7 linked regions of the Canis lupus familiaris genome follow. The protein of the gene in region 6 interacts with the protein of the main gene of each other region in a biochemical or structural test. Links are inferred from orthologs where the notes say so. Each region holds a gene or a part of one and is shown on either strand. Other genes may lie near its edges.

What was found.
Region 1: the proteins of EP300 (region 6) and NEUROD1 form a complex in vitro, tested with the Homo sapiens proteins (3 studies listed by BioGRID). The link is inferred for Canis lupus familiaris from reciprocal best matches to the Homo sapiens genes EP300 and NEUROD1.
Region 2: of the proteins of EP300 (region 6) and FEN1, one has a biochemical effect on the other in vitro, tested with the Homo sapiens proteins (2 studies listed by BioGRID, with this or other methods). The link is inferred for Canis lupus familiaris from reciprocal best matches to the Homo sapiens genes EP300 and FEN1.
Region 3: the proteins of EP300 (region 6) and STAT2 form a complex in vitro, tested with the Homo sapiens proteins (3 studies listed by BioGRID). The link is inferred for Canis lupus familiaris from reciprocal best matches to the Homo sapiens genes EP300 and STAT2.
Region 4: the proteins of EP300 (region 6) and TAL1 form a complex in vitro, tested with the Homo sapiens proteins (3 studies listed by BioGRID, with this or other methods). The link is inferred for Canis lupus familiaris from reciprocal best matches to the Homo sapiens genes EP300 and TAL1.
Region 5: the proteins of EP300 (region 6) and JUNB form a complex in vitro, tested with the Homo sapiens proteins (2 studies listed by BioGRID, with this or other methods). The link is inferred for Canis lupus familiaris from reciprocal best matches to the Homo sapiens genes EP300 and JUNB.
Region 7: the proteins of EP300 (region 6) and NOTCH1 form a complex in vitro, tested with the Homo sapiens proteins (2 studies listed by BioGRID, with this or other methods). The link is inferred for Canis lupus familiaris from reciprocal best matches to the Homo sapiens genes EP300 and NOTCH1.

Annotation. Positions count from the first base shown.
Region 1 is NC_049257.1:25,207,309-25,211,551, reverse strand, and holds the start of NEUROD1 (neurogenic differentiation factor 1), read left to right. Parts: upstream 1-1,263; 5' UTR 1,264-1,393; intron 1,394-3,124; 5' UTR 3,125-3,135; coding exon 3,136-4,206; 3' UTR 4,207-4,243. UniProt on the Homo sapiens protein: Acts as a transcriptional activator: mediates transcriptional activation by binding to E box-containing promoter consensus core sequences 5'-CANNTG-3'.
Region 2 is NC_049239.1:55,292,872-55,297,415, forward strand, and holds the start of FEN1 (flap endonuclease 1), read right to left. Parts: upstream 2,989-4,544; 5' UTR 2,801-2,988; exon of another isoform or gene 2,587-2,800; coding exon of another isoform or gene 2,564-2,586; exon of another isoform or gene 2,385-2,563; intron 2,359-2,384; exon of another isoform or gene 2,118-2,358; intron 1-2,117. Other genes in the region: TMEM258 (transmembrane protein 258), read left to right, coding at 2,564-2,586, 3,314-3,401, 4,277-4,386. UniProt on the Homo sapiens protein: Structure-specific nuclease with 5'-flap endonuclease and 5'-3' exonuclease activities involved in DNA replication and repair.
Region 3 is NC_049231.1:996,572-1,000,360, forward strand, and holds part of STAT2 (signal transducer and activator of transcription 2), read right to left. Parts: intron 3,638-3,789; coding exon 3,544-3,637; intron 3,395-3,543; coding exon 3,347-3,394; intron 3,266-3,346; coding exon 3,182-3,265; intron 3,027-3,181; coding exon 2,928-3,026; intron 2,826-2,927; coding exon 2,690-2,825; intron 2,568-2,689; coding exon 2,515-2,567; intron 2,386-2,514; coding exon 2,291-2,385; intron 1,696-2,290; coding exon 1,559-1,695; intron 1,385-1,558; coding exon 1,202-1,384; intron 969-1,201; coding exon 911-968; intron 1-910. UniProt on the Homo sapiens protein: Signal transducer and activator of transcription that mediates signaling by type I interferons (IFN-alpha and IFN-beta).
Region 4 is NC_049236.1:13,538,859-13,542,647, reverse strand, and holds part of TAL1 (T-cell acute lymphocytic leukemia protein 1), read right to left. Parts: intron 3,438-3,789; 5' UTR 3,437-3,437; coding exon 3,003-3,436; intron 2,910-3,002; exon of another isoform or gene 2,771-2,909; coding exon of another isoform or gene 2,709-2,770; intron 1,832-2,708; coding exon 1,737-1,831; intron 1-1,736. UniProt on the Homo sapiens protein: Implicated in the genesis of hemopoietic malignancies. It may play an important role in hemopoietic differentiation. Serves as a positive regulator of erythroid differentiation.
Region 5 is NC_049241.1:49,756,701-49,760,689, forward strand, and holds JUNB (transcription factor jun-B), read right to left. Parts: upstream 2,546-3,989; 5' UTR 2,250-2,545; coding exon 1,206-2,249; 3' UTR 709-1,205; downstream 1-708. UniProt on the Homo sapiens protein: Transcription factor involved in regulating gene activity following the primary growth factor response. Binds to the DNA sequence 5'-TGA[GC]TCA-3'.
Region 6 is NC_049231.1:25,041,726-25,045,514, reverse strand, and holds part of EP300 (histone acetyltransferase p300), read left to right. Parts: intron 1-566; exon of another isoform or gene 567-668; intron 669-839; coding exon 840-990; intron 991-1,108; coding exon 1,109-1,255; intron 1,256-1,809; coding exon 1,810-1,923; intron 1,924-2,666; coding exon 2,667-2,832; intron 2,833-3,593; coding exon 3,594-3,758; intron 3,759-3,789. UniProt on the Homo sapiens protein: Functions as a histone acetyltransferase and regulates transcription via chromatin remodeling. Acetylates all four core histones in nucleosomes. Histone acetylation gives an epigenetic tag for transcriptional activation.
Region 7 is NC_049230.1:48,973,167-48,977,431, reverse strand, and holds the start of NOTCH1 (neurogenic locus notch homolog protein 1), read right to left. Parts: upstream 3,010-4,265; 5' UTR 2,956-3,009; coding exon 2,895-2,955; intron 1,277-2,894; coding exon 1,195-1,276; intron 1-1,194. UniProt on the Homo sapiens protein: Functions as a receptor for membrane-bound ligands Jagged-1 (JAG1), Jagged-2 (JAG2) and Delta-1 (DLL1) to regulate cell-fate determination.

The sequences.
Region 1 (4,243 bases), on a different chromosome or scaffold from region 6:
TGGCAAAGATAGGCTGTCTATGACTGCAACCGGCCCGGGGAGGAATGAATGATCATTCAAATCGCCAAACACAAACACGGGCCTCTTCGGGAATCTCTACGACCTTTGCTTGACAGGTGGAGGTTGGTTGAGTCAAGTGAGAGTCTGTGAGGTCCGGAGGAGTCCTGGCCATTAACCCCCTCCAGAGCCCTGCCAAAGGCCTTTCCCGAAGGAGGAGCGAAGAAAAGACCCACTCGGTGTAGGCCCTGCTTGCTCCCTTGGAGAAGGCTCGTCGGAACCAGGCGCCTTTTGCAGGTCGGGGCCGTGCAGGGTCAGCTTGGGGCGGGAACACGGGGTGTCGGCGGGGGAGGGGGGCATCGTCTGCAAGGATCCAATGGCCTTGGCGAAGCATCAGAGGAGCCCCCGAAGCTTTCACACAGAGAGTTCTGGGACCGAAAGAGCCAAGGCCTGAGCGCGCCCAGGCTGCGCCCGGACCCAGGGGTGATGTACGGGGGGCTTCGGACAGAGGCCGCTGAAGGCGAGGCGCCCCAGGCTGCACGTGTGCTGGGGGCAGTGACAGGCACAACATTTCTACCGTCGAGGCTGGGCCTGGGTGAGCCGGGGACGGAGGCCGCGCTTGCAGACCAACCCTGTGCGCCAGGCCGGTAGGTCTCCTTCGGGGTTTGGCGGGGATGAGGGGATGGCGGGCACACGCAAGCGTCCGCCACGCGGGGGAGACCCGAGGCGGGCGAGCCCGGGAGGGCAGCAAGTGTGGGGCGCGCCCCGGCGGCCACCGGAGCCAGGCCAGGCCGCTCCCCCGCGCGCCTCGCTCCCGGGGCTCCCGGGGCTCCCGGGGCTCCCGGCCCGTGCGCGCCCCGACGCCGGCCGCCCTCTCCCATCGGAGCCCCCCCTGCAGCCCCCCTCCCCCGCGCCCCCTCTCCCTTCTGCCGCCTGAAAGGGTTAATCTCTCCTGCGGGTAAAAACAGGTCCGCGGAGTCTCTAACTGGCGACAGATGGGCCACTTTCTTCTGGCCACAAAGGGGCCGGAATGGAGCGCTCCGCGGCATACAAATGGGCGGGTCACGTGGCCGCCGGCTCCTGGCTGGACCGGGAGGACCATATGGCGCATGCCGGGGAGGCAGGAGCTGGGGCGGGGGCAGGGCTGGGGGGAGCGGGCCGGGGGCGGGGTGGGGAGGGCGGGGGAGCGCGCGGCCCGGACGCGTGCGCAGGCGCGGGGCGCACGGACCTGCGGGCGCTCGGCTCCCCGCCCCGCCTGCGCGCGGCCCCGGCCGGCGGCTATATAACCCGGGCGCCCGCGGCCGGCGCGCGAGGAGCTCGCCCCACGCACGAGGCGCGGCGTCCGGGGCCCGGGGTTATGAGCCCGCCACTGCTCAGGACCTACTAACCGCCGCAGGTAAGCACGGCCCTCGCCTCGCTGCCCGGGGATCCAAGCGGTCGCGGAAGCCCCCGGCGTCCCCGCACGGATCCCGGGGCCCCGGACGCGCGCGTGCATCCACGGGCATCCCTCCCCTGCCCTCCCCTGCCCTGCCCTGCCCTGCCCTCCCCTCCCCTCCCCTCCCCACGCCACGCCGCGGGCAAACCCGCTCGCAGCTCGGCTCGCGTCCATCACCCAGCGCTGGCTCTCCAGTTTTTTTTAAAAAAATGTTTTAGTGTTTTGGTTTTTTGGGGGAGGGCCTCTTTGGGTTTTTGTAAATAATGCACCCCAACTCTGATGATTGGCTTGCTGGTGGTGATTTCAAAGTCCTGGAAGCAAACGACTACTTGACTTTCTCACTCCTTCTAGTAAGGGAAAAAAGAGAAAAAGAAAAAGAATAAGGAAAAAAAAAAAAAAAAAGGAAAGCCCTGTCACCAAGATGCATTTTGTGTGCATGTGTGTTATACGCGATTGGAAGTGCCGAGTTATCGTTTCAGTGACTAGAAGGGGCATTTGAGACCCGGAGTATATTCCCCCCCCCCCACACACACACACCCCATCCCCAAATAACCCACTTGACAGGTAGTTGGGTTGGGAGGGAGGGGGGATGTGGAGACGGGGAGAGGAGCCGACTCCTGCTACCTGTTACTGCTTCCGAGGCGGCCAAGTCCCCAGCAGCCAGCGCAGGAGCCAGAAATTCAGTTATCTCACTAAAGGCTCTTTTTTTTTCCTTAATTTTCTTTATTAGAAGCGGCAACTTCGCTCTTGCCAATCGCTGACCATCATAATTACTCAATCTTTTTAAAGAGAGGTTTGAGGCGAACTTTGAAAAGCCCCCAATAAAGAGCGGGCGGCCCTTTCAATGGGCTGTTTATTAGAGAGGAGCCTCCCGCACCTGATCCCAGGCGCCGGGCAGGGCGCTGTGCGCGGTGCCCCGGCCTCGCCCCGGAGCCTGCGCTTTTGTACAAGGTGGAAATTCAGCGGAGGGACAGGGATGGGGGGCGAGGGGGGAGGAAGGCGAGGCTGGCACGGGAGCCCCCTGCCCACTTCTGTTGCCACACGTTTCGTTGATGGCGAATTAATTGGACGGGAGCTACTTTTTCTCCGGCACGCATTTGCTCTTCAGTCTCGGGGTAGTGTGTAATCTTCTTAAAAATCACTGCCACCGTTAGTTAGCAAATTACGTAATGGCCCTTTGCAGCTGTAATCGCCAGGGCAGAGAAGGGGACGCACGGAATTGGGATTTTTTTTTTCCAAACTCATCATTTTATATGTGTGTGTGTGTGTGTGTAGTTGTGAGTGACTTTGAACTCACGCAGATAAAGGTGGAGTAGTCGGGGGGGGGAAAAAAAAAGCAAACAAACATGAAGTAGTGGAAATGCATGCTCATTTTCACGCATGTATCTCTCTGCCGCCTAAGCACCGTAAACACACTTTCACCCATCGCTAGGAAACACACCTGCTTGCTCTCTCCCCCACCTGCGCCGCTGCCCTCTGTCCCGGGGGCCTGTTGTCAATCAGGCCGGCTAAGTTTTTCTTAGGAGCATCTGTCTGGTCAGCAGCGGTCACTCCCTCGCGCGTGCATCTCTGCCAGGTTAGGGAGTGGGAGCGCGGGGAAGGCGCAGGTCGTTGGCGAGCCTAGCGCTTTTCTCCTTTTCTTTCTGTTCCCCTTCCCCCCTCCCCCCTGCCCCCGCCCCCTGTTGAATGTAGGAAACCGCATCATGACCAAATCGTACAGCGAGAGCGGGCTGATGGGCGAGCCTCAGCCCCAGGGTCCTCCCAGCTGGACGGACGAATGTCTCAGTCCTCAGGACGAGGAGCACGAGGCAGACAAGAAGGAGGACGACCTGGAAGCCATGAACGCCGAGGAGGACTCGCTGAGGAACGGCGGCGAGGAGGAGGACGAGGACGAGGACCTGGAGGAGGAGGAGGAAGAGGAGGAGGAGGACGACGACCAGAAGCCCAAGAGACGCGGCCCCAAGAAGAAGAAGATGACCAAGGCGCGCCTGGAGCGGTTCAAGCTGCGGCGCATGAAGGCCAACGCCCGGGAGCGCAACCGCATGCACGGGCTCAACGCCGCGCTGGACAACCTGCGCAAGGTGGTGCCCTGCTACTCCAAGACGCAGAAGCTGTCCAAGATCGAGACGCTGCGCCTGGCCAAGAACTACATCTGGGCTCTGTCGGAGATCCTGCGCTCGGGCAAGAGCCCCGACCTGGTGTCCTTCGTGCAGACTCTGTGCAAGGGCCTGTCGCAGCCCACCACCAACCTGGTCGCCGGCTGCCTGCAGCTCAACCCTCGGACCTTCCTGCCCGAGCAGAGCCAGGACGTGCCCCCGCACCTGCCGGCGGCCAGCGCGCCCTTCCCGGGGCACCCGTACCCCTACCAGTCCCCGGGGCTGCCCAGCCCGCCCTACGGCACCATGGACAGCTCCCACGTCTTCCACGTGAAGCCGCCGCCGCTCGCCTACAGCGCGGCGCTCGAGCCCTTCTTCGAGAGCCCCCTGACCGACTGCGCCAGCCCCGCCTTCGACGGGCCGCTCAGCCCGCCGCTCAGCATCAACGGCAACTTCTCCTTCAAACACGAACCGTCCGCCGAGTTCGAGAAGAGCTACGCCTTCACCATGCACTACCCCGCAGCGACCTTGGCAGGGCCCCAGAGCCACGCCTCGGTCTTCTCGGGCGCCGCCGGCCCGCGCTGCGACATCCCCATAGACAGCATCGTGCCCTTCGAGAGCCATTCGCATCACGAGCGAGTCATGAGCGCCCAGCTCAATGCCATCTTCCACGACTAGGGGGGCGCGTCGGCTTCAGCATCCCCCCCCCCCGCCC
Region 2 (4,544 bases), on a different chromosome or scaffold from region 6:
CTGTACCTTTCTGCCAGTCATTGAACATCCCCAACTAATGCCTCTGGCTCCCTGCCACTTCGCAGCTGTGAGTTTTATGTCCCAACTAGGCTAGGCTAAGGCATGTAGTTATTTACTCAAAACACTAATCCAGTTGTTGCTGTGACGGTATTTTGGGACATCTATCATCAGTTGACTTTAAGCAAAAGAGATCATCCTTCATTATACGGCTGGGCCTCATTCACTCAGCTGTAAGGCCTTGGGAGCAAAAGCTGAGATTTCCCAAAGAAATTTGGCCTGAAGGCTGCAGCATCAACTCTTGCATGAGTTTCTAGCCTGAGGTCCCGCCTGATCATTTTCAACCTTGCCAACCTCTACAATTACCTGAGCCACTTCCTTAAGATAAATCTCCTTATATATGTCCACATCCTATATCTTACTGTTCCTCTGGAGAACCCCGACTCATAGAGTAGCCTTGAAGGAGGATTGGCAAAGAACATCATATCTGGACAGGAGTTATGTGGCTTTCTCACAAGCTCCCTTCAGTGTCCCCTCAACACGGTGATTGGTTTCTACTTCTATGATGTTGCTAGGAGTTTTAAGGCTTTCCCTTTGTATTTTCTCTCTACCACTAAGTCTGAAATGTGAACTCATGGCTCCCTACTAGACCCTAGGTCCCAATCTAGGAACCCGGCAAGCTGTAGTGGCCTGAGTCCCGTACTGCACTTCTGTGGACAAATTACTTCCTAGGGTAGTGTTTCCCGAAATTCGGTCACACCCAAATCACCCTCACAATGTCTTGCCATTTCCATGTAAAACCCGTACTTTCATTCGCCTAATATTGTTTTTTTAAATGGACACCATGGTTTTAAAAACGAAGGTAAGGGACACCTGGGTGGCTCAGCAGTTGAGCACCTGCCTTTGGCTCAGGGTGTGATCCTGCGGTCGGTCTCAGGATCGAGTCCCACATCAAGCTCCCTGCCTGGAGCCTGCTTCTCCCTCTGCCTACATCTCTGCCTCTCTCTTCTGTGTCTCTCATGAATAAATAAATAAAATCTTAAAAAAACAAAACAAGGGATCCCTGGGTGGCGCAGCGGTTTGGCGCCTGCCTTTGGCCCAGGGCGCGATCCTGGAGACCCAGGATCGAATCCCACATCGGGCTCCCAGTGCATGGAGCCTGCTTCTCCCTCTGCTTCTCCCTCTGCCTATGTCTCTGCCTCTCTCTCTCTCTCTCTCTGTGACTATCATAAATAAATAAAAAAAAAAATTAAAAAAAAATATATTAAAAAAAAAACAAAACAAAACAAAAAAAACGAAGGTAAGTTGAAAAAGAGAACTCAAGCAGTATGTCTGTGCTGTATCAGTTACATTTTAATGCGTTAAACGTATAACTATTAAAAAGGATTTTTTGCAAAATAAATAAATAAATAAATAACAATAAAAAGGATTTTTTGGGTGCCACTTAAAAAGTCATCGCGTGCCCATTGGTGTTATGTGTCCGATACGCCCAAGAAATATTACACTAGATCTTTTCGTTGCTCCCACTTTTCAAAGGGCTCTTTCTAAAGCATCAGGGACCCTGTACATACCCCCTTCTACCTAAGTCCAAACACCTCAACCCGGCATCAGGATCTTCCGCGCTCTGCTTCCCAACCTGCCTTCACAGTCTGGGGGCCAACACAAAGGATGGGATAAGACCTGCCCTTCCTCCCGCCATCCTCTAACTCCTGCCACACCCTGGGGGCTCGGATCCGTACATCCGATCCTCTGGGTCCAGCTTCAGGCTGGCTGTCCTGCTAGGAGGCGTCCCGAGGGGTCAGGACCTGCCGGCCGGCTGGCCTCCCCCAGCCCCCAACACTGGGAGGCGGGAAAGGGGTCCAGACCAGCGAAGTCTCCAAAACGTTCCTCGTGCAGAATCTCGGTCAAAATACACAACGGCCCCCTAAAGTGGAGGCTACTTCCCTCCTTCCGCAAGTGAAGCAAGAGGCTCAGAGGTTAAGCGACCGACCCAAGTCGCGCAGCGGGAGGGCGGCGAACCCGCGCCCCGGCCTCCGCCCCGCGCGCGGCAGACGGTCCCCCACAGCACCCAGCGCGAGGCGGACCCGCCGCCCTCGGGGGCGCTGCCCGTGGGGCCTCACCTGGCCTTTGCGGCGCGAGGCCTCCGCAGCTAGTGCTCAGTCCGGCGCTGCCCAGGACAGTGCTCAGGCCCTCCCCGGCTTCCACTCTGCGGCAGACCCGGTCCCGCTCCGCCGCCTTCCAAAGCCCGCGCTCCCGTCACGTGACCCGCCGCCGCGCATAGCCTCCTGGGAAGTGTAGTGCACCGTGCCCCGACCCCTCGGCCAGTTCCCCTCGTGGCAAACAGTCCCGCCAGGGGCGAATGAACCCTCTCAGGGGATCTACCCTACCCTTCTCCATCGCTTGCCCCGGCTCTACGTCAGGCGCCCACAGGCACTAGCCCCTGCTACACCCGAACGCACAGGACTACAGATCCCACAATGCCACGCGCGTGGGTGCACTTCCTCTTCCGGCCGGACAGAGCGCCCGCTCCTGCTGCCGACGTGTGATTCCGGTGGCGGAGCGGCGGATGAGCCTACACCTGGCGAGATGGTGAGAGAGTCCCTGAGGCCCCCTCGGGGCCCGCCCCACATTCCATTTCTCTCGCAAAGGCCGCAGACGGCCGGGATGCAGATGGCGGGAGGCTCCTGTATCTTCCGGCTCGGGCCGAGGGGCGGGAAGGGAAGCCCCTGGCGGTGGACTCGTTAGGCCGAGGTTTCGCGCTCGCGACTCTTAGGGGTGAGCCGCGTGAGGTGCATTTTAATACCGTGAGCTTTTATGTGTCGGCTGTGATTGAGCTCTTGTGTCTGTTTGGAAGGTTCTCCCCCTTGCCGAACTCGTGCTCATCCTACAAGGCCCAGGGCAGGTGTCGCCTTCTTGGTGAAGCCCGTCCAGCTCTCCCAGGCGCTTGGCCGCTCTGCCCTGGGCGCTCCCGCGACCTCTGTACAGGCTTGTTGCCGCAGGTCATGGACTCCTTTGTTATCTGCCACGCCTCCGAGTGACCAGCCTCTGACGTGCCTCCAGCTCTGGGACGCTGTCTTATTCATCTTTGTATCCCCCAGTGCCCAACACAGGGCCCGCAATTGGAGGCCCAGTAAATGGCAGCGATTGTCTTTGTCGTGTTCGGGGAGGCACAAATGTTTACTGAATTGAATTCCAGTGTCTCTTAGGACAATGGGGTCAATTCATTTCTCTAGAGTTGTTATGTTCTGGACTTTAGGAGCGTTGGCTGGTGAGTGACAATGGAAGTTAACATTTGTACGGAACTTTACGTTTACAGCCCTCCTTCACAGGCATTATCTCATAATCTTCCCTGTAAGCCCGAAGAGGAAGCAGACACCGTTCGAGCAACTACTCCATGCCAGGAAGTGAGCTACATGCTTTGACACTTTGACGTTGGTCATCCTTCTTAAATCATACATCAGCCCTATGAGTGGTGTTATTATTATTATTATTATTTTTTTTTTTTTTTTATGATAGTCACAGAGAGAGAGAGAGAGAGAGGCAGAGACACAGGCAGAGGGAGAAGCAGGCTCCATGCACCGGGAGCCCGACGTGGGATTCGATCCCGGGTCCCCAGGATCGCGCCCTGGGCCAAAGGCAGGCGCCAAACCGCTGCGCCACCCAGGGATCCCTGAGTGGTGTTATTAATGACTACTGAGATGCATGTTACTCGGTAGAGCCAGATTATTAACTGAAGTCTCTTGGCCGATAGATCCTGAGACTCCATAACAGCACGGGGTGAAGCACGCAGATGTAGCAGTTGAGATTGGGTCCTGGCCCAGGCTCGGAATTACAGCAGGATTCTGAGCTTGGTGTCCACAGACGAGGGTCCGTACAGCTCCTAAAATTAGAGACAGACTTCTTGCTTGTGGTTTACCCTGGGCAGAGTCCATACCTTTTCTCGCATGTTTTTTAATAGTCTTCAGCGGTCTCAAAAAATGTTAGGAACCACACTGGTTGATAGCTAATCGATCACCTTCTGTGTCAGCATCAGACCCTCAGCTGCCCTTCTTGTCTCATATTGAAAAAGTAAAGTATCACCTTAGTTTTAAGATGTCATTGTTGTCATTTCCGAATGGGATCGCTCGATGTTGGTTCCGAGGGACTTCCATATTTCCCAGGCTGAAACAGACCCATAACAGTCCTAGCAGGAGGAGGCTCCTTGATGACCTCACATTCCCCATTCCCGGGTTGAAGTCTTGGGATTCTTTGATAGCTCTGATCTCATACCCTCCCTTAGGAGCTCGAGGCCATGAGCAGATACACCAGCCCAGTGAACCCTGCCGTCTTCCCCCATCTGACCGTGGTGCTATTGGCAATTGGCATGTTCTTTACCGCCTGGTTCTTCGTGTATCCTTTTACTGAGCAGCCCGTGGGCCTGAATTAGCAAAGTGGGAAACCACCCTGCCAGTTTTGCGCTGGTGTGGGGGTAAAGGGAAGGGAAGGAGTTGAAGGAAAGCTGCTGAGGTTCAAGGTCAGGTGGTGGCCTGATTTCCCAAACTCAGGCG
Region 3 (3,789 bases), about 24 Mb from region 6:
CTGCTCAGGTCATGATCTCAGGGTGGTGAGATTGAGCCCTGCGTCGGGCTCCATGCTCAGAGCAGAGTCCGCTTGAGATTCTCTCTGCTTGTCCCTCTATTCCTACCCCGGCCCTACTCGTGCATTCTCTCTCTCTCTCTCTCTCTCTCTTTTTAAATAAATTAAAAAAAAAAATTTTTTTTTAAAGGTGGCAACAGGGCAATACAGCAGAGGGTTTAAGAGCACAGGCTTTGGAGTTAGGCTTGCCAGAGTTTGAATCCTATCATTTATTAGATAGGTGATCTTCAGCTTTCTGTGCCTCAGATTTATCATCGATAAAATGGAACCATCACCACCTAATAACGCTTCAGAGAGTAGGATGGTTAAAAGCAGGACTTTGGAATCTGACAGACCTGGATCATTTACTAGCCATGTACCTTAGGCATGCCATTTCACCACACTAAACCTCAGGCTCTTCGGCTGAAATACCCATGTCTGCCTCACAGGACTATTATGGAGATTCAATAAATAAGAAACTAAATGCAAAATATTTAGTCCAGTACCTGCCACATAATAAACTTTCTTAAATATGGCTGTTATCACCTAATTGGATGGGTTCTCAGAAGAATTCAATAAAATAAAAAGAAATCTGTTTCTAAAAAAAAAAAAAAATCTAGTACTATGCTTCAAGTAGATGCCCATTAACGTCAGTGATTATGACTCTGATTAGCAGGGAAGCCCTGTGGAAACAACCTAAGGATAGCAGCAGAGCACTAGGGAACAAAGAGGCTAGCAGAACGAGGGAAAAAACCTAGAGGTTGGAGACTATGGGCCCGTAGGAAAGAAGGCCAGAGAGGCAAACTGAGCGGGTTTGGGTCGCCACATCAGCCAGCAAAGGCCAGGGAGGATGGGCAAGAAATGCATCTCTCACCTGTTAGAGACCACAATGAGCCTATGTTTCAGGTATTTCCTCCGTTCTTCGAGATTAACTGTGGGGGACATATGCAGGAGGACAGGGAGGTCAGTGGACTGGACACCTGGCCCAAGGACCCCTCGTGTAAACGGTCTTGATAATTGTATTTCCCTACTAACTAGCCATGTCCCAGGGACAAATCCTTTCGTTTCTCTGGCTACCAATTTTTCCATGTCTGGAAGAAAGGAGCTGGATCTGTAGATGCCTGAGTCCCTGCAATCTTCAGTGACATACATCAACGATCCTTACCTTTCTCCTGGTAGTAGCACCCAAAAGCCTCATCCCGGGGGATTCGGGGGTAGAGGAAGCACAGTGGGTTCTCAGGTATGTTCTCTTCGGTAAGCAGCTGGTAGTGGCGAATGATTTTGGTCAGTGGGAGAGACTGAAGCACTTCCTTGGTGAAGGGTTGCAGAGAGTTGATGAGCACCTTATCTGCAGAATGGATGTGGGAAGAGGCAGGCCTGAAACAGTCGGGTCTAGGAGTCCCCCACCCTGGCCATCTAAGCCCCAACCTGCTGAGGGATTCAAGACAGAACCAGGGAAGCCAAGGGCTGGCAGAGGGACATAAAGGACAGGCTGTGGGAACATCGGGGCGAAGCAGCTGACCATCATCCTGATGTTCCACCCAGGAGCAGGTGATGCCCCCTTCTGATGTTTCACTGAAGCGCAGGAGAAAGGTGCCAGAGATGGTCTTCTTCAGCAGCCTGCGTTCCTTGCTCCGGCTCACAAAGCCCATGATGCGTCTGAAACAGAAAGCTGCTGTGAGGCCCTCATGCCTCCCTGCTGTCCTGCTGTCCTGCTCTCCTTGTACAGGGAGACAGCGCCAGGGTTTGGCCCTTGCTCTTGGCCAAGTCACTTCCTCTTACTGACGGTATCCACCTTCTAGGGCTGGAAGAGGTTTGAGGATTCAGTGTGGTCACAGATGAAAAAGCACCTTGGAAAGGCAAATGAGCAGGTAGTGTGATGGGAAGAGCACAGGCCTGCAGTCAGATGAGGCCTGGGTTTGAGTCCCAAGCAGGCCCATTGAGTGAATTCTTTTTTTTTTTTTTTCATTGAGTGAATTCTTTTTTTTTTTTTTTTGAGTGAATTCTTTAACTTCTCTTTGACTCCACACGGTTGTAAGGATTACACGAGAGAGTTCATAAGGAGCATCCAGCAGGTTCTGGAGCACAACAGATGCTAGGACTATTATCATGAGCGAAAACGTCAGGCGCGTGACCTTGCACCAGCATTTGCTTGCTCTCTCCCTTTCTGCCACATGAGGGCGCACAGAGTCCACTCGAGCCCAGAAAGGCAGAAAGCTAGGGGTGGGGCGAGGGAGACTGACCAAGGCCTTACCCATCATTCCAGAGATCCTTCAAGTGGTCATGTACCAGCTCCAGAATTTTGTCTAACCACGTCCAGAATGGTAGCTTGCCAGGAGGGCTCTCTCGCTGCAGGAGGAATGAAAAGGCAGGAAGAGACATGATTAGTCGCCCCCAGTGAGCAGATGGCAGTAAGGAGGGCAAGGACTAGTGTTTGCACAGGGGCTAGACGTAGTCACACAGGATGCAGGGAGTTACCTTAGTGAAGTCGGCCCACGATAACAATGCGCCCTCAGTCCTAGAGTTCTGACCTGTGGACAGACAGACAGTTCAGGTAATCGATGCAGGCAAGGCCAGGGTCCTTGGAATAGAAAGGGTGGAGGGCTGGGGAGACTACGGCTGGGGAAAGGCTGGGAGAAAAGGAGGTTTGTACCAAAGAGCTTGTTCCTCAGCATGCTCAGCTGGTCTGGGTCAAGGCCTCGGCCAACATAGGAGGAGAACTGCCAGCTGAGAGCAGGGCCCAGCAAGCTCCAGGGTGCCATGGGAGGGCTGGAGAAGAACTGCTGATTCTGCAAGAGTGGGAAGAGGGCAGGATGGCTCAGAAGGAGCACCCTCAGGCCAAGCGTCCACACCCTTCCTTGCCACCCAGCACCATTAGCACCATCTCCTACCTGGGGGTTTGAGCTAAGCAGATTGAACCAAAGAACCGAGGCCCAGGCAATGGAAACTTGGTTCATATTGGAAATAATCACCACAGGGAGGGTGTCTGTCTGAAGAGAAAACAAGAGTCAGAGAGAGGGATGGGATGTTTCTAGCTTTGACAGAGGCAAAGGAGAACTTCCCACTGGAGAGGCTTCCTTTAACGCCTCCTGAATGCCTTCCGCCAGATCTGCTTCATCTCTCCCTGCCCTCCATTTCCACTCACCTTCAGCTCCTCCTTCAGACCCTGGTAGGTGTATTTGACTGTAATGCTGATAATGTGCAGTTCCTCCGTCACACCCAGCATGCCCTAGGACAGCCGAAGACACAGCGGTCAGCGGGCCCTGTGGCAAGCTCCTCCCATCCCCCCGCTGCTCTGGCCAGGCCTCACCTTATTGCAGCCCTTTCCTGGGCCACCTGAACGTTGTTCTACCAGAGTCTGTGAGTTGACAGGAAATAAAATAAATGCCAGAGTGAGGACTCCAGGGTCCCTGGAACCCCTATTTCGCCTCAAGACTTCCCAAGGCCTGGGAACTTCCCTCAGCCCGTTGCACCGGACCAGAACCTTAGGCTGCTAGCCCTTCTTACCAGGTAACCGAAGTCCCAAATTAAGCCCTGACTCTGCCCCTTCTCGGGGGTCAGGGTTTTCTGGTTTGAGGTTAGAATGTTGAACTTCCGGAAGCTATTCCAGGAGGAAGAAGATATATGGAGAAGAGGAGAAGAGTTATTCTAAATACTCAGCAGGAAAACAACAAAAATCCTACTTCATTCCAGACCTCCCCTCCTCCCTTTGTCCAACCCCCAACCAAGTCAACCTCCTTCTTGTCTGAGCCC
Region 4 (3,789 bases), on a different chromosome or scaffold from region 6:
GAAAAACACAGCACACCTGCTGGCGGTCCTATCCTGGGCTGCTGCAGAGGAAATAACTCCATGTTCTCTGGTCTCCACGCCAGACAGAGGGGTGTCCCTCAGCTGTGACATAAGGAGGACTGTCCCTGCCCAGGAGGACGCTGAGGGAGCTCCTGGGTGGGGAGGGGGCCTTACAACTGCTGTCCCAGTTACAGTTAGCAGAACCTATCCCCAGCCAAGCCCTAAAAACACTTTATCCCATTGGACTCTCAGCAACCTGTGAGGTTCCCCCCTTTACAAATGAGGAAAATAAGAACCAGAAAAGTTCAGCAGCAGGAATCCACACCAAGTTCCATTTCTTCGGACTCTTTGGTGAAATCTCTGGTTTCAAACCTCCATGGACATACGTACTCTGCATACCACACAACACATACCCTCCTCTTCACCTCTGTTTTTGTCTGTTCCTCTCTGGCACCTTCCCAGAGAACCATCCGCCTCTCTGCACCTTCCTCTTCCCTAGCCTGTCCATCCCTCTGCGGCCCTGCCTCTCTGCACCTACTCAGCATCCAGACATTTATGAGTAATGGCTTCCCTATACTTCTGCACTCCCCCCCAAACCCTCACCCCCCTGGCCCCTTCTCCTGCTTCCTCTCCTTTGTGCCTGATTCTCATTGCTTCTGCCCTCTGTGCAAAAGGCCTCTGCCCTGGAGAACTTCGGAGCAGGATCAGCCCCAAAGTTCCAGCAGTACTGACACCTCATCACCCTTCCCTCTTGGACCGACAGCTCATGCCCCAGGCTGCTCAGGGCTTATGAGGTCTGTTCCTTGTCCAGACTCCAAGCCCCCTCCCCTCCAGAACACTACAGAGGACTCCTCTCCAGAAGCTCCAGCTCAGTACACGTCCCTCCTACTGACCCCTTGATTAAATCCCAGTCTGGCCTCAAGGCCTCAGGTGGCCTTCCTACAGGAGCCCCAGGCCCCACACTGGCAGCTCCAGGGTTGGGCTCCTGGTCCCCGGCTCTGAAGAGCCTGCTCTCCTGCCCCCTGGTGTTGGGTCCCATCTCCTACATCAGGTCAACCCTGGGAAGAGGGACAGGATACTCCTAATTTCCCATCCATCCAACTCCTTCCCCAAGTTTAGCGCCCAAGACTACTCAGGTAGTTCACAGGAGTATTGGCGAGGGCCTTCTGGGGGACGCAGGGGAGGACGGCAGGGTAGGATCTATGATGTCAGGAAGGAAATGCCAGGTCTCAGCCCTGGGTATGGAACAGGGGCCAAGAGGGTCCCACAAAAAAGGGACCTGGGACACGGACCTTGACGGTGCAATTCCAGGCAGGGAGCAGACTCCAAAAAAGGCCTTGGGAGGAGGTACAAGAAATCTCTGAGGCTCGGTGCTCAGAGGCAGGGAGCACCATGTGTGCTGCCCTCCCCTGGGATTCTTGCACAGTGTACGAATGGGGACTAGAGCGCGGACGGACGCCAGCTGACCCCAGAGGTTTGCGCTAAATGCCACCCTGTGTCCTCACTGCCATGTTCCCTCTTCCCAGGATGGTGAGGATGGCCCCCAGCCCCACCCATGACTTGGCCTGGTCCCAGGGCAGTTGCAGGGCAAGGACTCCAGCAGACTCGGATTCCCAGGTAGCCCCACCCCCAACTATGTGAGCCGCCTAGGGAGTAGTCCCTGAAGATCCGGCCCCTGCTGGGGCTCTCGGACCAGCAGGAGGGGTGAGCACAAAGGAAGAGGCGGGGAGACTCACCGTCTGTAATCTCCATCTCATAAGGGGAGGGCCTCCTCTTCACTCGGTTGCTGGTGGCGAACATAGGGAAGGCATCTGGCTCCCCAAAGAACCCACTGTGGAAGGGAGTAAGCAGAGCACAAGCTCACACGCAGGTGGAGGGCGGCGGGCTCCTCAGCGATCCCGCGTGCTCTGGGCGCCCGCCCCACCCCGGGGAAACACAAGGGCCACCCTGCTCCCTTCACACCTGAGTCCGGGATAGAAGGAGCATCCCACACAGACAGCCACACACAGTCACAGAGTGCTCCCACTCTCTCCCCTTGGGGAGGCAAGCGAGGGGAGAAGGGGCCCCATGCCCACACACCGCTCCCCACCCTTCACAATCAGAAGTGAACACACAGAGCAAACCCAAAAACGAACACACATGCTCCTCAGGCAGACGTACTCCCCTTCCCAGACACAAGCACACAATCCACAGGCACCTCCCCTCCTGCACAGGTACTCACACAGGCAGCTGTGGCCTTCACACCTAACGACCTGCAGCCCTAGCACTTCACAGGACACACTGCCCCCCACCCCAGAGATCACCACACCTGCATCCCGCCCCATGGGGCCCGTGGACAGACAACAGAGAGTAAACCTGGCCTCACCACTGCTCACATGCCCCTCACTGCCCTCCCTGGGCTCTCCATAGCTTCTTCCTCCTCGGGGTCTCCCACTAGCTGCCCCCATTGTCAACCCTTGCCTCACCTTCCGGTCTCCACCCTAAATCTACCCCTATCTCCCCACCATCTCAGTGGCCCCAGCAGGGAAATGGACACCTAAACTGGGAGGGGAGCGCAGGCCCCGGCCCGGAGACCACAGCCCGGGCCAGGGGCAGAGGGGCCCCAGAGGGGAGGAGGGATCCCCGCCCCACCGCCCCACCCGGGCCAGCAGTTCGGGGAGGGCGGGGAGGGCGCCGTCTGCAACCACCCTCAGATCCCTTCCTCTCACCTGTCCGCTGAGGGCTGCGGCTTCCAGAAGGATTTCAGAGCAGCGAGCGCATTCAGACACATTCTCACCTGGGACTCCCACTCAGGCGACTCCCTTGGGTCCACACCCCACCCCAGCACACACACGCCCCAACACGCAGCCCGGCCCGCGCTCCCCAGGGCGGACCCTCCGGGTTCGCACACTGGCTCGCGCGCCCGCCCCACGGAGCCCCCGCGCACACGCACACCCGCCCCGGGGCTCGCAACGCCTCCTCCTCCTGCGCCCCCCGCCCCCCCGTCGTCCCCCGGGCCTGACCTGCCGAGCGAGGCCAGCGGCTGGCCGAGGCTGTAGAGCAGCGCGCGGCCGGGGGCGGCGGGGGCCGCGAGCGCGGGCGGGCTCAGCTGCACCATGCGGCCGTCGCCGGGCAGCTCCGCGGGGGCCGAGGCGGGCGCGGGCCCCGGGGGCCGGCACAGCTCGGTGGTGGGCACCCGATGGCGCGCTTCGGCCGCCGCCGCCTCGCGGCCCTTCCCGTCCCGCGCGGCGCCGCCCCCGCCGGCAGGGCCGCCCCCCGGGCCTCCGCGCGCGCCCAGCTCGATGACCGGGGGCTCCGCGGGGGCCGCGCGGCTCGTCTCCTTGGCGACGCCGTTGAGCAGGACCAGGTGCGGGGGGGCCATGCGGGCCTCGGCCGCGTCCCGTCCCTCCGGCGGGGGGTCACTGCGGGCCGCCTCGCCCGGCGGCCGCTCCGTCATCCTGCGGGCAGACAGACAGACAAGCGGACGCCCGCTCCGACAGCCGCCCGCCCAGAGCGGTGCGCCGGGGGCCCAGCGGGATTCGCGCCCCGAGACGTGGAAGAGGCGCGCTTGGCGCCACGTGGACAGGCGGCCCGGCTGGGACAGCGCAGGGGTGCCTGCGAGACCCAGGGCCTGGGGGCACGGAGAACGACGGCAGAGACATTGGAAGAAGAGGAATAGAGCCAGCGAGAGAAAACAGAAGGGGGAAAAGGAGGAAGGAAATGTAGAAAGAGGCGAGAAAGAAAGATCATCCCGTCCCCCTGCTCCCGCTGCAGGGGAAGAGGAGGGAACAAACCCCCTGACCCTGTTCT
Region 5 (3,989 bases), on a different chromosome or scaffold from region 6:
ACCTGGCACCCGGGAGGGGAAATTGGCAGGCGGGCGCCGCCCTTCCTGGCGGGGGTGGGGGGGTACCGCGGCGGCGGCGGCGCGAAGGCTGCAGCAACCCCCCGCCCGGGTCAGGTCAGACGGAGCGCGCGTGGGCGCGGCGGGGCCCCGACGCCGACCCGATGGGGCGGGCTCGGGGCTGGCTCCGGGACCCAGGAGCTTGGCCCTCCCACCGCGGACGCTCTGGACCCAGGCCTGGGGCTTTCCGGGCCCCGGCAGCCGCCTGCCTGGGAAAATCCCGGCCCCCTTCCCGGCGCCGCAGCCCTGCCCGGCAGAGCGGGGGAGGGGATTCCCGGAATCTGCCCGGAGACCGCCGGCGCGTCACTGGACAGAATCGGCCCATGTAGGGGCAGCGCTTCCGCTGCGTCAGCGGGGAAAGCCCCAGCGCGCGCAGCTGGGCGGGGCTGCGCCCGCGCACTGCGCGTCTCGCCCCAGGCCTCCTGCCCCCTGGTGATGGGCGGCTGGACCGCGTACCCGCCCTGGCCCTTCCAACCCCGGGGAGGAGGGGGCCAGAGAAGGGTCCGCCGCCCGCACTAGGGCTGCAAGATGCTTAGGTAGAGCTGGCGAGGAGGACACGGACACTGGCGCGAGTCACAAGCAGGAGTGGGGTGGGGGCAGCCCACTATTCTCCTCCCTCCTCCCGCCCGGCTTGGAAAAAAAGACAACAAATTAATAAAGAACCATTTTTTTTTTTACTTAAATAGATTCAATAAAAAGTCGGAACAACAAACACACACACACACAAACACATCTTAAAATAAACTCTTTAGGGACCGAGTGCGTGTTTCTTATCCACAGTACGATGCAGAGGGGGGAGGGCAGGGGGCGGGGGTCCCTTCCCCAGTGTCCCCGCGGGCTTGAGTACCGGGCGGCGGGGCCAGCTCCGCCGCGATCGCCCCCTCCTCCCCTCCCTGTTAAATACACAAATATATTATATTCAATATGAATCGAGTCTGTTTCCAGCAGAAAAAAAAAAAACATACAAAAAAACGCGAAAGGGGGGCTTGTAAACGTCGAAGTGGAAGGACTGGACGCAGAGCGGGCGGGCAGGAGTCCAGTGTGGTTTGCGGTGCCCCGGGGGCCGGTGCCCACCGCCTGCCCCCTCGCCCCTTGGGAGGCGTGCGCCCAGTCGTCCAGACTGGGGGAATGTCCGTATGGGGGGGCGTTCAGAAGGCGTGTCCCTTGACCCCGAGCAGCAGCTGGCAGCCGTTGCTGACGTGGGTCATGACCTTCTGTTTGAGCTGGGCCACCTGCTCCCGGAGGAGCCCAGCAGTGCTCGACAGCCCCGCGTTCTCGGCCTTGAGTGTCTTCACCTTGTCCTCCAGGCGCGCGATGCGCTCCAGCTTCCGCTTCCGGCACTTGGTGGCCGCCAGCCGGTTCCGCAGCCTCTTGCGCTCCACTTTGATGCGCTCCTGGTCTTCCATATTGATGGGGGACACCGGTGGCGTGGCGTCGCGGCTGCGCGCCTCAGGCACGGTCTGCGGTTCCTCCTTGAAGGTGGAGGCTCCTCGGCCCAGGCCCAGTTGCGCCGGGTGGCCGCCAGCGAAGGGTGGCGCGTGTGGGAGGTAGCTGATGGTGGCCGTCGGGTACGAGCTCCCAGTCCCGACGGCGGCCCCGGCGCCTCCAGAGGGCGCAGAGGCTGGGGAATAGCTGTTGAGGTTGGTGTAGACTGGAGGTGGCTCCGGGCCGGCGTAGACGCCCCCGGGCCCAGCCGGGGGCCCCGAGCTGGCGCCCAGGGACACGTTGGGGGGCGTCACGTGGTTCATCTTGTGCAGGTCGTCCAGCGCTTTGACAAAGCCGTCTGCGAAGCCCTCCTGCTCCTCGGTGACACCGCCCCCGGCGCCCCCCGCACCTCCGCCGCTGCCTCCCCCGCGGGGGTAAAAGTACTGTCCCGGGGGCGTGGGTGTCGTCGTGATCACTCCGTTGCTGTTGGGGACGATCAGGCGCTCCAGCTCCGATGAGGCAAGCTTGAGCGACGCGCCTGTGTCCGAACCCTGGCCGGAAAAGTAGCTGCTGCCACCGCTGCCCTCTGGTCCCGGGCCCCGCGCCCCGGGGGCTTTGAGACTTCGGTAGGGGTCGGCCAGGTTGAGCGCCAGGCTGGGTTTCAGGAGTTTGTAGTCGTGTAGAGAAAGGCCGCCCGGAGCCCGGCCGTATCCCGCCGCTGCGTATGAGTCGTCGTGGTAGAAGGGCTGTTCCATTTTAGTGCACATCCGGGCGGCCCAGGCGGTCTGGGGGGGTCCCTGCGGGGCCGCCCCGGGCCTCGCTGCGGCGAGCGGCGCCCTGTCCGCGACGGTGGCTGGACTGGGTATCTGGACGCGCGTTCCCAGGAGCTGGCACCGGCCGGGAGAGGCCAGCCGGCGGCGGTGCGCGGAAGCTCCGTGCGGCTTCTCGAGCCCTTCGGCCCCTGTCCGGCGCGCTCGCTTTCCTGGTGTCGCTTCCCCCTGCTCCCCGCTCCCTGCTGACTCCGGTGCTGGCCTGGCCGCGCTCAAGGTCCCGGCAGCTCAGGCTGAGCCACACGCCTTTATACGGCTATTGTCAGCTACGGAAGTGCGCTCCGATTGGCCGTCGCGCGAGCCGGGCCCCCGCGCCCCCCTCCTCCAGCGTGGGGAAGGGGAGGAGGCGGCTCGCGTCACTGTCAGGAAGCGCGTGTCCTTGTAAACAGCGGCCACGGGCTGGGTGGCTCGGCGCGGCTGCAGGGGGAGGGGCTCAGGGGACCCCGGGGTGCGCGAAGGAAGGGGTGCTGGTCCGAGATACACGGGGAGGGACTCCAGGGAAGGCACTGATTCCCCTGGATGCGAGGAACTGTTACAAAGCAAGTGTGTGTGTGTGTGTGTGTGTGTGCGTGCGTGCGCGTGTGCGTGTTGGGGCGGAGGGCGGGGGTGGTCTCCAGGGTGTACACAAAAGGCCTGAGGGACTCGGAGTATTCGAGGGGGGTTGAAGGGCTGATTATATACACAGGGAGACCCCACAAAGGTGAGACAGGAGGATCAACCAGAGTAAATGAGAGAGGGGTAAGGTAATGTGTGGGGGTCCTGAGTACAGAGGGGTTAAAGGACTTGAATTTTAATAGAGGGACTGAACCCAGGAAAAGTGAGGGGGGGATCAAAAGGGCAAAAGGAGGGGATGGAGGATCCATTATGCAAAAAATGAGTAGGGGTCCTGAAGTCCATGGGAGAGACTGAGGGCCTCCATAAGGGGAATCTAGTTATGTAGAAAGTGAGGGCTCCGGGGTATACCGAGTCTGGGAAATTATGGGGGGGGGGACCCTGTCAGAGGTTGGGAGTCACTGGGGTCATCTGCAAAGCCCTGATGAAGGAGAGTTAAGAGTCCGGACACACTTTCAGAGCCGAGATGATAATGACACAGGGTCTCCAGCTGAGACATGAGAGGAGGGGTTTTTGAGGATCCTGGGGATTTGGACTGCTGGATCTTCCATGACTGGCCACCCCTTCTTGTGGGTGCTTTCTAGGCGCCAGTATACTTTGCTCCCATCTCCAAGCCCTCCCCCCGTGACCCGGGGCTTGACCGACACCGTGCCGACTCAGGGTGCTGAACCTACCCCGACGGCCCGGGCGCGGTCGCCCAACCCCACTCCTTCCTTAGAAACAGGCTGGGGAAAGAGCGCCGCGGCAGGAAGTGTGGCAACAGCCCCGGGGGAAGGAGCCCGGCCCTGCCTCCGTCACTCGGATCCTACGGGACCGTGCGCCCCGCCCTGGGTCCGGTTGGGTTCTGCGCCTCAGAAGAGGAACGTGGACGTGCGACCCTGGCGGAGGCCAGGGTGCGCAGAACACGCCCAGCCGCATAGGCCTCTAGTCTCCCTCTCCCAGCAATGGTTCAGCCCGCAGCACCCGCAGGCGACCGCGGAGGCAGGCGGTCCGGGGACGATTCCATTAGCCCGACGGAGGGGGACGCGCCCGGGAGCGGGCTTGGTCGCCATGGCAACAGGCCGG
Region 6 (3,789 bases):
TGATTACCTCAATTTGGTCCAAACTTTTAGTTGGGGCCTCTTTCAGACCTATCTCACTTGGGTGGTTGGGGTAGTGGTAGTCAAAGATTGTATCCTGGGGTGCACCTGGGTGGCCCAGTCAGTTGGGCAGATGCCTTTGGCTTGGGCATCTTCGGCTTGGGCATGATCCCTGGGGTCCTGGGATTGAGCCCCGCGTGGAGCTCCCTGCTCTGCGGGGAGCCTACTTCTCCCTTTCCCTCTGCTCTTCTCCCTATTTGTGTTCTCTAGCTCTCTCTCTGTCAAATAGGTAAAATAAAAATCTTAAAAAAAAGATTGTATCCTGTATACAGTCGAGATTATTGCATTATAATATTTGGTTTAATTTTGTGGATACCTTTGCAGTTTTTACTGACCTACAGATTGCTTTTTATTCCTATAAGGCTTCTCATAATATCCAACCATTGTTATTTTAAAATATCACTGCAATCAAGCCAAAGTGCATGTGGATGTTGTATTTTGTGACTTCTGAAATTAGAAGATTTTCCAAGTAAAAAGTTGGGTGGAAAACACCTAAAATTCACTACCATGTTTGCTTCAGCTGCGCATATACTAAAATTGGAATGATACAGAGATTTGTATAGCCCCTATGTAAGGATGGCACACAAATTCATGAAGTAGCTCCTATTTTTTAAAAAACGATGGTTTTCAAGTATTGATCACATTGCTAACTTTTAACAAAATCAGGTTATCCTATTTGGACGGAGAATACAAAAATGATATTTGATATTGAAGCTTAAGAGTTAACAATAATGAATTTGCACCTTGGCTAACTGCAGAACTTTTCACTTCTGCACTTCTAGGGTTGCCATCTACCAGGCTTGGCACCTTTCTGGAGAATCGTGTGAATGATTTTCTTAGACGTCAGAATCACCCTGAGTCGGGAGAAGTCACTGTTCGGGTAGTGCATGCTTCTGATAAAACTGTGGAAGTGAAACCAGGCATGAAAGCAAGGTATCCAATAATTTTCCCTTTTCTTCTCTTGTGGTTCTACAAGCACTTGACAGTTAATTGCTGATGATTCTGGTTTAACTGAGACCTCGTGTTTTTCTTTCCAATCTGGATTATGTAGGTTTGTAGATAGCGGAGAGATGGCAGAGTCTTTTCCTTACCGAACCAAAGCCCTCTTTGCCTTTGAAGAGATAGACGGTGTTGACTTGTGCTTCTTCGGCATGCACGTTCAGGAGTATGGCTCCGACTGCCCTCCACCCAACCAGAGGTAGGACTTGGCCCACTGCCTTCCAGTTGAGTGGGAGTTTGCAGTTCAATAGGCAAAAAGCATTGTGGGCAAGGAACTATTTGATGTACTTGCTTTGGAAATGGAAATGCAAACTGTGTTCATAGTAATAAGGAGGAGTATCAAACAGCCTGAAATGAGAAGTGGGAAGCAGACTGTTTTTCAGAAAATGGGCTTAATTCTTGATTGTGTTAGGTGCCTTGCCTGGGAGATAATGTGAAAGAATGTCACACAAGTAAAGTTAGGATATGGTTTAGAATTTGTTTCCAAAATAGTATAAAGGCCAGAATAAGAATGCTACCAGAATACACTTGGATCCATAAATACTAATACACTATGCTTCAAGCGCTGCTGGGTACTGAGGCTCACCAGACTCTCCTAAAGAGTGCACAGCCTAGTCATGTACTTAACTGTGACTGTGTGATGTGTATTATAAATGAGGTGAAAAAGAGCACAGAGGAGATTGTGTTTTTAGCCATATTAGTAAGAACTCCTTATGTGACTTGACATGGTTTCTTTCTCCCCACTTGATACAGGAGAGTTTACATATCCTACCTTGACAGTGTTCATTTCTTCCGTCCTAAATGCTTGAGGACTGCAGTCTATCATGAAATTCTAATTGGATATTTAGAATACGTCAAGAAATTAGGGTAAGCATATTGACAAATGCTATCTTTAAAAACAATGAGCTTAAACTAATTAAATTTTTAACTAATTACCACTGTGGTATTGTGGTGAAACTTAGATTAAAGCAGAGAGGTGACTTTGTTCCCTTTTCTCAGTGTTGCCAGTCGGACAGAAATGGATATGTTGACCCTAGTCATACTTATCCCAGATTAGTTTTCTTTTGTTCAGTTAAGGTGTTAGGTACAGTTTGATTGGAAGGTTGGTACTCATTCAGGGCCAGAACCTTGAACTGCAGTTGACCCTCTCATACCTAGGTATCAGAACCAAAATAGACTAGGGTCTGGAAATACTCAAATTAGCCTGATTCTTTACCTTCAGGGTATACGTGTGCTTGAGAACATTCACTACCGCACCTTGCAAGTTCTTCCTTTTATCACTTAGCTTTCTTCCATTCCTTGTTCCGTGTTGTTGGAATGGATCCATGTTCCTTTGCATTGTAGCTTTTCTTTTGTCTTCACATGCAAATTTGGGATTTGGGAATCCAGGGTTAGCCTCTAAGAAGAACTAGGCAATGTGACACCCATTGTAAGTGCTGTAGGTTAGGCCTGAATCTGGCCTAAGAATTTCGATCTGATTCTGGGTTGTACACTTGATATTGTCTTAGAAAAAAAATCATTGGTTTCCATATTGACTCCACGTTGTAGCATTCTTTCTGGAATAGATGATAAACTTTTCTCTTGAATATTCCCCCTCTTTGTGTTGTTAGATATACAACAGGACATATTTGGGCATGTCCCCCAAGTGAGGGAGACGACTATATCTTCCATTGCCATCCTCCTGACCAGAAGATACCCAAGCCCAAGCGACTACAGGAGTGGTACAAAAAGATGCTTGACAAGGCTGTGTCTGAGCGAATCGTCCATGACTACAAGGTCAGGAGGAATGGGGGGCGATGACTGATCCTGCAGCTCTGTATTCTGCTATTTGACTATCTTAACAAAAATCTTCTGTACTCCCTTTTTCAAACCAAGAAAAACTCAGTTTTAAATGTCTTAGATCAACAAATCTCTGTTTTAAAGATGTGATGAAAAACGTATTCTTAATAGCCATTCATGATTAGAGGGCATCTCATGATAAGAACTTGAACAGATAAGTTTCTTATCTGTTTTTACTCCTGGGGAGAAAAGTAAGAACTGGATGTTTTCCCAGGCAGCAGAGCAGAGCAGCCTGTGGCCATGCAGTTTCCAGTATTTGTGGTTTGGGTTGTTTTGAACATATTTCTCAGTCAGGGGATGGGTGATGGGAACAAGGCAGGCATTCCTCACATTGTATTGCATTGTGTCATCAGCAATAGTAAAGGCTGCGGCGTGATTGATGGGGCCTGAGCCATCAGTCCTCGCAGGAAGATGTCCCACTTGGCTTTATAAAGGCAGGTAACTTCCCTATCCTCACAGGCAGAGGAAAGACAGAACCAGAACCACTGACCTCAGACCTTGAGTTTTTACTGTTTAAGACTAAATGTCCCCCTGGGCCATGGGGCTTAGGTATAAATCTCTCTGCTGCCTTTCTTTCAGAAGACATTATAATCCTTCAGGTTTCTTGTGTCTGCTAGCTGTGACTGCTTCTGAATGATAAATGCTTCTTTAAAAAAAAAAAAAAACCAAATTCCTACTTGTACCTGGTATTTTCACAGGATATTTTTAAACAAGCTACTGAAGATCGATTAACAAGTGCAAAGGAGTTGCCTTACTTTGAGGGTGATTTCTGGCCCAACGTTCTGGAAGAGAGCATTAAGGAGCTAGAACAGGAGGAAGAAGAGCGAAAGCGAGAAGAAAACACCAGCAACGAGAGCACAGATGTGAGGGCTTTGCATTTTCCTTCCCAGCTTC
Region 7 (4,265 bases), on a different chromosome or scaffold from region 6:
AAGATTTAGGGCATCAAGCGTCGGTGAGGCTTCTGGAGGAAAAGAAAAAGGCCCCAAAAAAGCAAAAAAAAAAAAAAAAAAAAAAAAAAGTAGTGTGCATTCATTAGCGTCTGACAAAGACACAATCCTCTTTGTCTATTAAACTGCTCACAGACCTGTTTAATTGGCTTCAGTTTGGGGAGGGTGGGGGCAGCGAAGGAGGGGCTGCCTGCCCACGGGCCAAGGGTTGTCAAGGGAAGGGGCCCTCGGCAGTGGGAATGCAGCACGCTGAGGAGGACCCAGGACCGGCTGGGGAGCCCTTGCTTCCTTTGTGCCCCCCACCCCCACCCCCGCCCTGCGCCCCGGCGGGAGGAGGGGACCTTTTTCCAGCCACCAAGCACCACCTCATAGTCCCATCAAGGAAGAAGTCAAGCTGAAGGGCACCAGCCACAACAGAAAAACTTTGGTGAGGCCGCTGCGCAGGGGCAGGCAGGGCACACAGGCGAGGGTGCATGGGCAGGCAGGGTGCGGACTCTAACAGGACTCCCCGCCCGAGGCGGGGGCGCCCCCGCAGGACACACACATTCCCACTCCAGCTGCGGACCAGCCCAGCAGGTGATGGGCCGGATGGCAGCAGGGCTGAAGCTACAGATGCCAAGACAAAGACCAAGCTCTGGCAGGTACACTCCCACCCACCCCTAACCTATGAGATGGGCTCCCGAAGAGTTCCCCAACCTCACCTGAGGTTGGAGAGGGGGTGCTAGAGGCCGCAGAGGGCCCAGAGGGGTGGGGCTGAAACAGCCCATTTCTGTGAGGGTCAGCACTGGCTGATCTTCGGGAGGCACCCCTATGGGCAGGGCTTCTCTAAAGGTCCACAGCCTCCCCTGGCAGGGCAGTCGTTTCTCAGAGACTTTAGGAAGAAACGGGGTACTGGGAATCCCCACCTAGCACCCCAGGAGTCCAAGGTGGTGCACAAGGCGTGCTCGAACCTCCAGCGGCCAGACCAGCTCCACACGCAGCATAATTGCTGGTGATTAAGTAATTGCCAGACTTTGTCCAATAAAAGTAGCACGTGACCGCGCCCAGCCTTCTGGGCCATCTCCAGAAGACAATGGCCTAGTGTTCTGTCCCTGCTGGCCCCTGCTGCAGAAGGCAGGGGCTCTGCTCCCGACAAAAGCAACAGGTCCCCACAGGGGCGCAGGGGTGCGTACTCACACACAGGCTTCTGTGCCGTTGAGGAACACTTCACACTTCCCGCCATTCAAGCAGCTCTCACTGGGCTGGGAACATCGCAGACCTGGGAGGGGCGAGGCAAGAGATCAGCCTGGGTGGCACAAGGGCCCTCAGCCCAGGGAAAGGCCCACCCCAAGGGGTACAGCAGCCCCTCACCTAGACAGCTCTGCCTCATCACGGGGTTGCTGGGGGCAGGGGACCTCAGGAACCCTCCCAAATGGGGACCCCAAAGGGCTTCCACATTCTGCCCAGAGTTCTGTAGTCAGAAACGGGGCGGGGGGGGGGAGGGCAACAGGTTGGCAGGGTGGCAGGTGGACAGGTCATGCTCCATATGGGCCAAGGAGGCCTGAAATGCCATCTGGACAACAATGAAGGGAATCTGAGATGTCCCTGGGCCACTCTTCCAAACTCTGCACCCCCAACCCATCTTCAACGGGGAGCCCAACTGGGCTGGGGCCCCTATCCAGCCACCAAGATTGTCTTGCAGTTCAAACATGTTCTGGGAGGGGGCGGTGCTGAGGGGTGGGGTGGCCACACTGCCCCCCACCCCAGCTCGTGGGAAAAGGCGACAGCTGCAAAGCTCAACGCCCCGCCCGCCGAAAAAGCGCCAGCCTCGGAATCAGAGCAGCCCATTGTCAACAGGGCCGCCTCCTGGGGCAGTGGGGCTGCACCTCGGGGACCCGGAGCCGCCTCCAGGACACCCAATACCTGCTCTGCGTCGGTCACCCCCAGATACACCCAGGGGAGGAGGATGGAGATGCCCTATTTGGAAAGAATTCGACCCCATTCCCAAGAAGGGATTAATCCAGTCGTTCCCTCCCCGTGGTACCAGCGACCTGTGAATTAAGCCCCTTGGGGGGGGGGGTGCAGGTACGGGATGTGACTTGGAACCCCACCTTCTGGAAGCAGGGAGCTAATTCTCCCCACGAACTTTCAGGGGAAGAGAGGACTCAGTCACCACCGGATCCCTGATGTGAAGTGGAGAGAGAAGCGTTCCTTCTCCACGGCCTCTCAGCCCTCGCTACATTTCTAAACTTGAACTCCGCAAAGTGAAAGTCAGGCCGGTAGGGGCTGGGTGTTCCGCACCCCGCACCCCCCCCCCCACCGGCAAGCTGCATGGGAGCGGGGACGGGGGTGGCGATCGGACGTGGGAAGGGGGTGCTGCGTCCTTCCCTCGCCAGCCCTCCCGAGCGCTGAGGCCGCCCGGCCCCACCCGCCCCGCATTGCTCCGTAAGGGCAGCGCCGCGCCTGGACCCCACGCTCCGCGCCCGGCATCCGCGCCCGGCATCCGCCCCCGGCGCGGGCCAGAGGCGACGAAAAAGATAAATGGTCCCCAAAGCAACAGGAAACCAAAACCGACTCGATTCAAATCGAAAAGGAGTAGGCAGCCAGCCCGCCTGCCCCGGCGGCAAGCCCCACGCGTGGCTGACGGAGGGCGAGCCCAGGGCTGGGCCCGCCGGGGTCCCAGGCGCTCCGAGCGCCCCGCGCCCGGCTTCCTTCACACCGGCTCCGCGCGCGGGCGGCGCGAGCCCTTCCCGTCGGTCCTTCTCCTGCGCCCGGGGTCGCCCCGCGCCCCTCTCCCGCCCCTGCCGCCGGCTCCGGGCCGGCCGGGGCGCGCGCGTAGGCGCCGCCAAAGTTTCCGGAGGGCGCAGAAAGTTGCGGGCTCGCGGGCGGGCGCCTACCTCGTGCGGCGAGCGCGGGCAGCAGCGCCAGGCAGAGCAGGGGAGGCAGGAGCGGCGGCATGCCTGCCCGCCCGCTGCCCGCTGCCCGCGGCGGCCTCCCGAGCCGGGACAGCGGGGCTGCCGCGCACGGGGCGCGCCGGACGGTCCCACGAGCGGCGGTGGCGGCGGCGGCGGCGGCGGCGGCGGCGGCGGCGGCGGCGGCGGCTCCCGGCTTCCCGGCGGGCGGGCGGGCGGGCGGGCGACGCGGGGCCCTCGCGGCCTCGGGCCCGGCTCGCGCCCCGGCTCGTTCCTCCGCTGCGCTCGCGCCCGTGCCCGCGCCCCGCGCCCCTGCGCTCCCTCCCGCGGCCGAGGCACTAGTGAGGCGCAGGCCGCGGTGCGCTCCGCCCCCCCTCCGGCCCCGCCCCTCGGGCCCGCCCTGCCGATCCCTCCGCACCCCTCGCCCTCGCCCTCGCCGGCTGCGCCCCTGCGTGCCCCGCGACCTCCCCGCGTCTCCCCGCAGCTGGGCGCGCCTCGGACGCCCGGGCCCCCGGGGGCCGGGGGCCGCGGCGGGGCGAAGGGGCGTCGGAGGTCGGACCTAGGGACTACTTCTTGTTCGAAAGTTTTCAGCGGCAAAAAGTTTGGTTCAGGACTGCGGAAGGATCCGCCTCTGACTTACGCCGCGCTCGGCGACAATTGACAAAGATTTGCATCTCAATAGCCGAGGAGGTGCGAGCTGAGTGGGGCGAGTGGGGCCTAAGGGTACGTGCGCGGCTGAGGAGCTGGAGGAGCGGCCAAGGCCTGTGGGGGACCCGGGGCCGTGACTGGAGCTCGGGGAGGACTCGTGCCCCCCCGGCCGTAGGGAAGCCCCCGACCCAGGGGCTCAGGTCCCCGTGGCGAGCCTCCAGGAGACAGGCCGGGCACTTGACCCCCAGGGATGGCGGCGCCGGGGCCTCTGTTTCTGGAGAGCGCTGGGTGCCCCAGTGAAACCACCTGGGGCCAACGGCTGCCCAACGGACTGCGCTGCTACTACTCCCCCAGGAGGGACCCGCCTCCAGACGCTCTTGCTCGCTGACCAGCCCCTTCTTCAGGCGCCTCCCTTTCAGATGCCCGGCAAGCACACGAGTCCAGCAGACCCTCTGCGAGCCCCAGGGCAGCCCTGGGCCCCTCCCACGTGCTCCTTCCGGATGATTTATTTCTCCGCCACGATGCCAGATTTGGGCATCCTGTGCCAAGTGGGGTTAAGCTCTGGGCATTCCAGATGCCTGCCACGGCCCCTGCTGAAACCAAAGTTCATGGCCTGGCCCTGGGGACAGACACCCCCATCCCAACAAAGGTTGGTCAGCACCGTGGGAGGAGGTACAACCACCCAGCCGCGCATGCCCACGGCCCTCT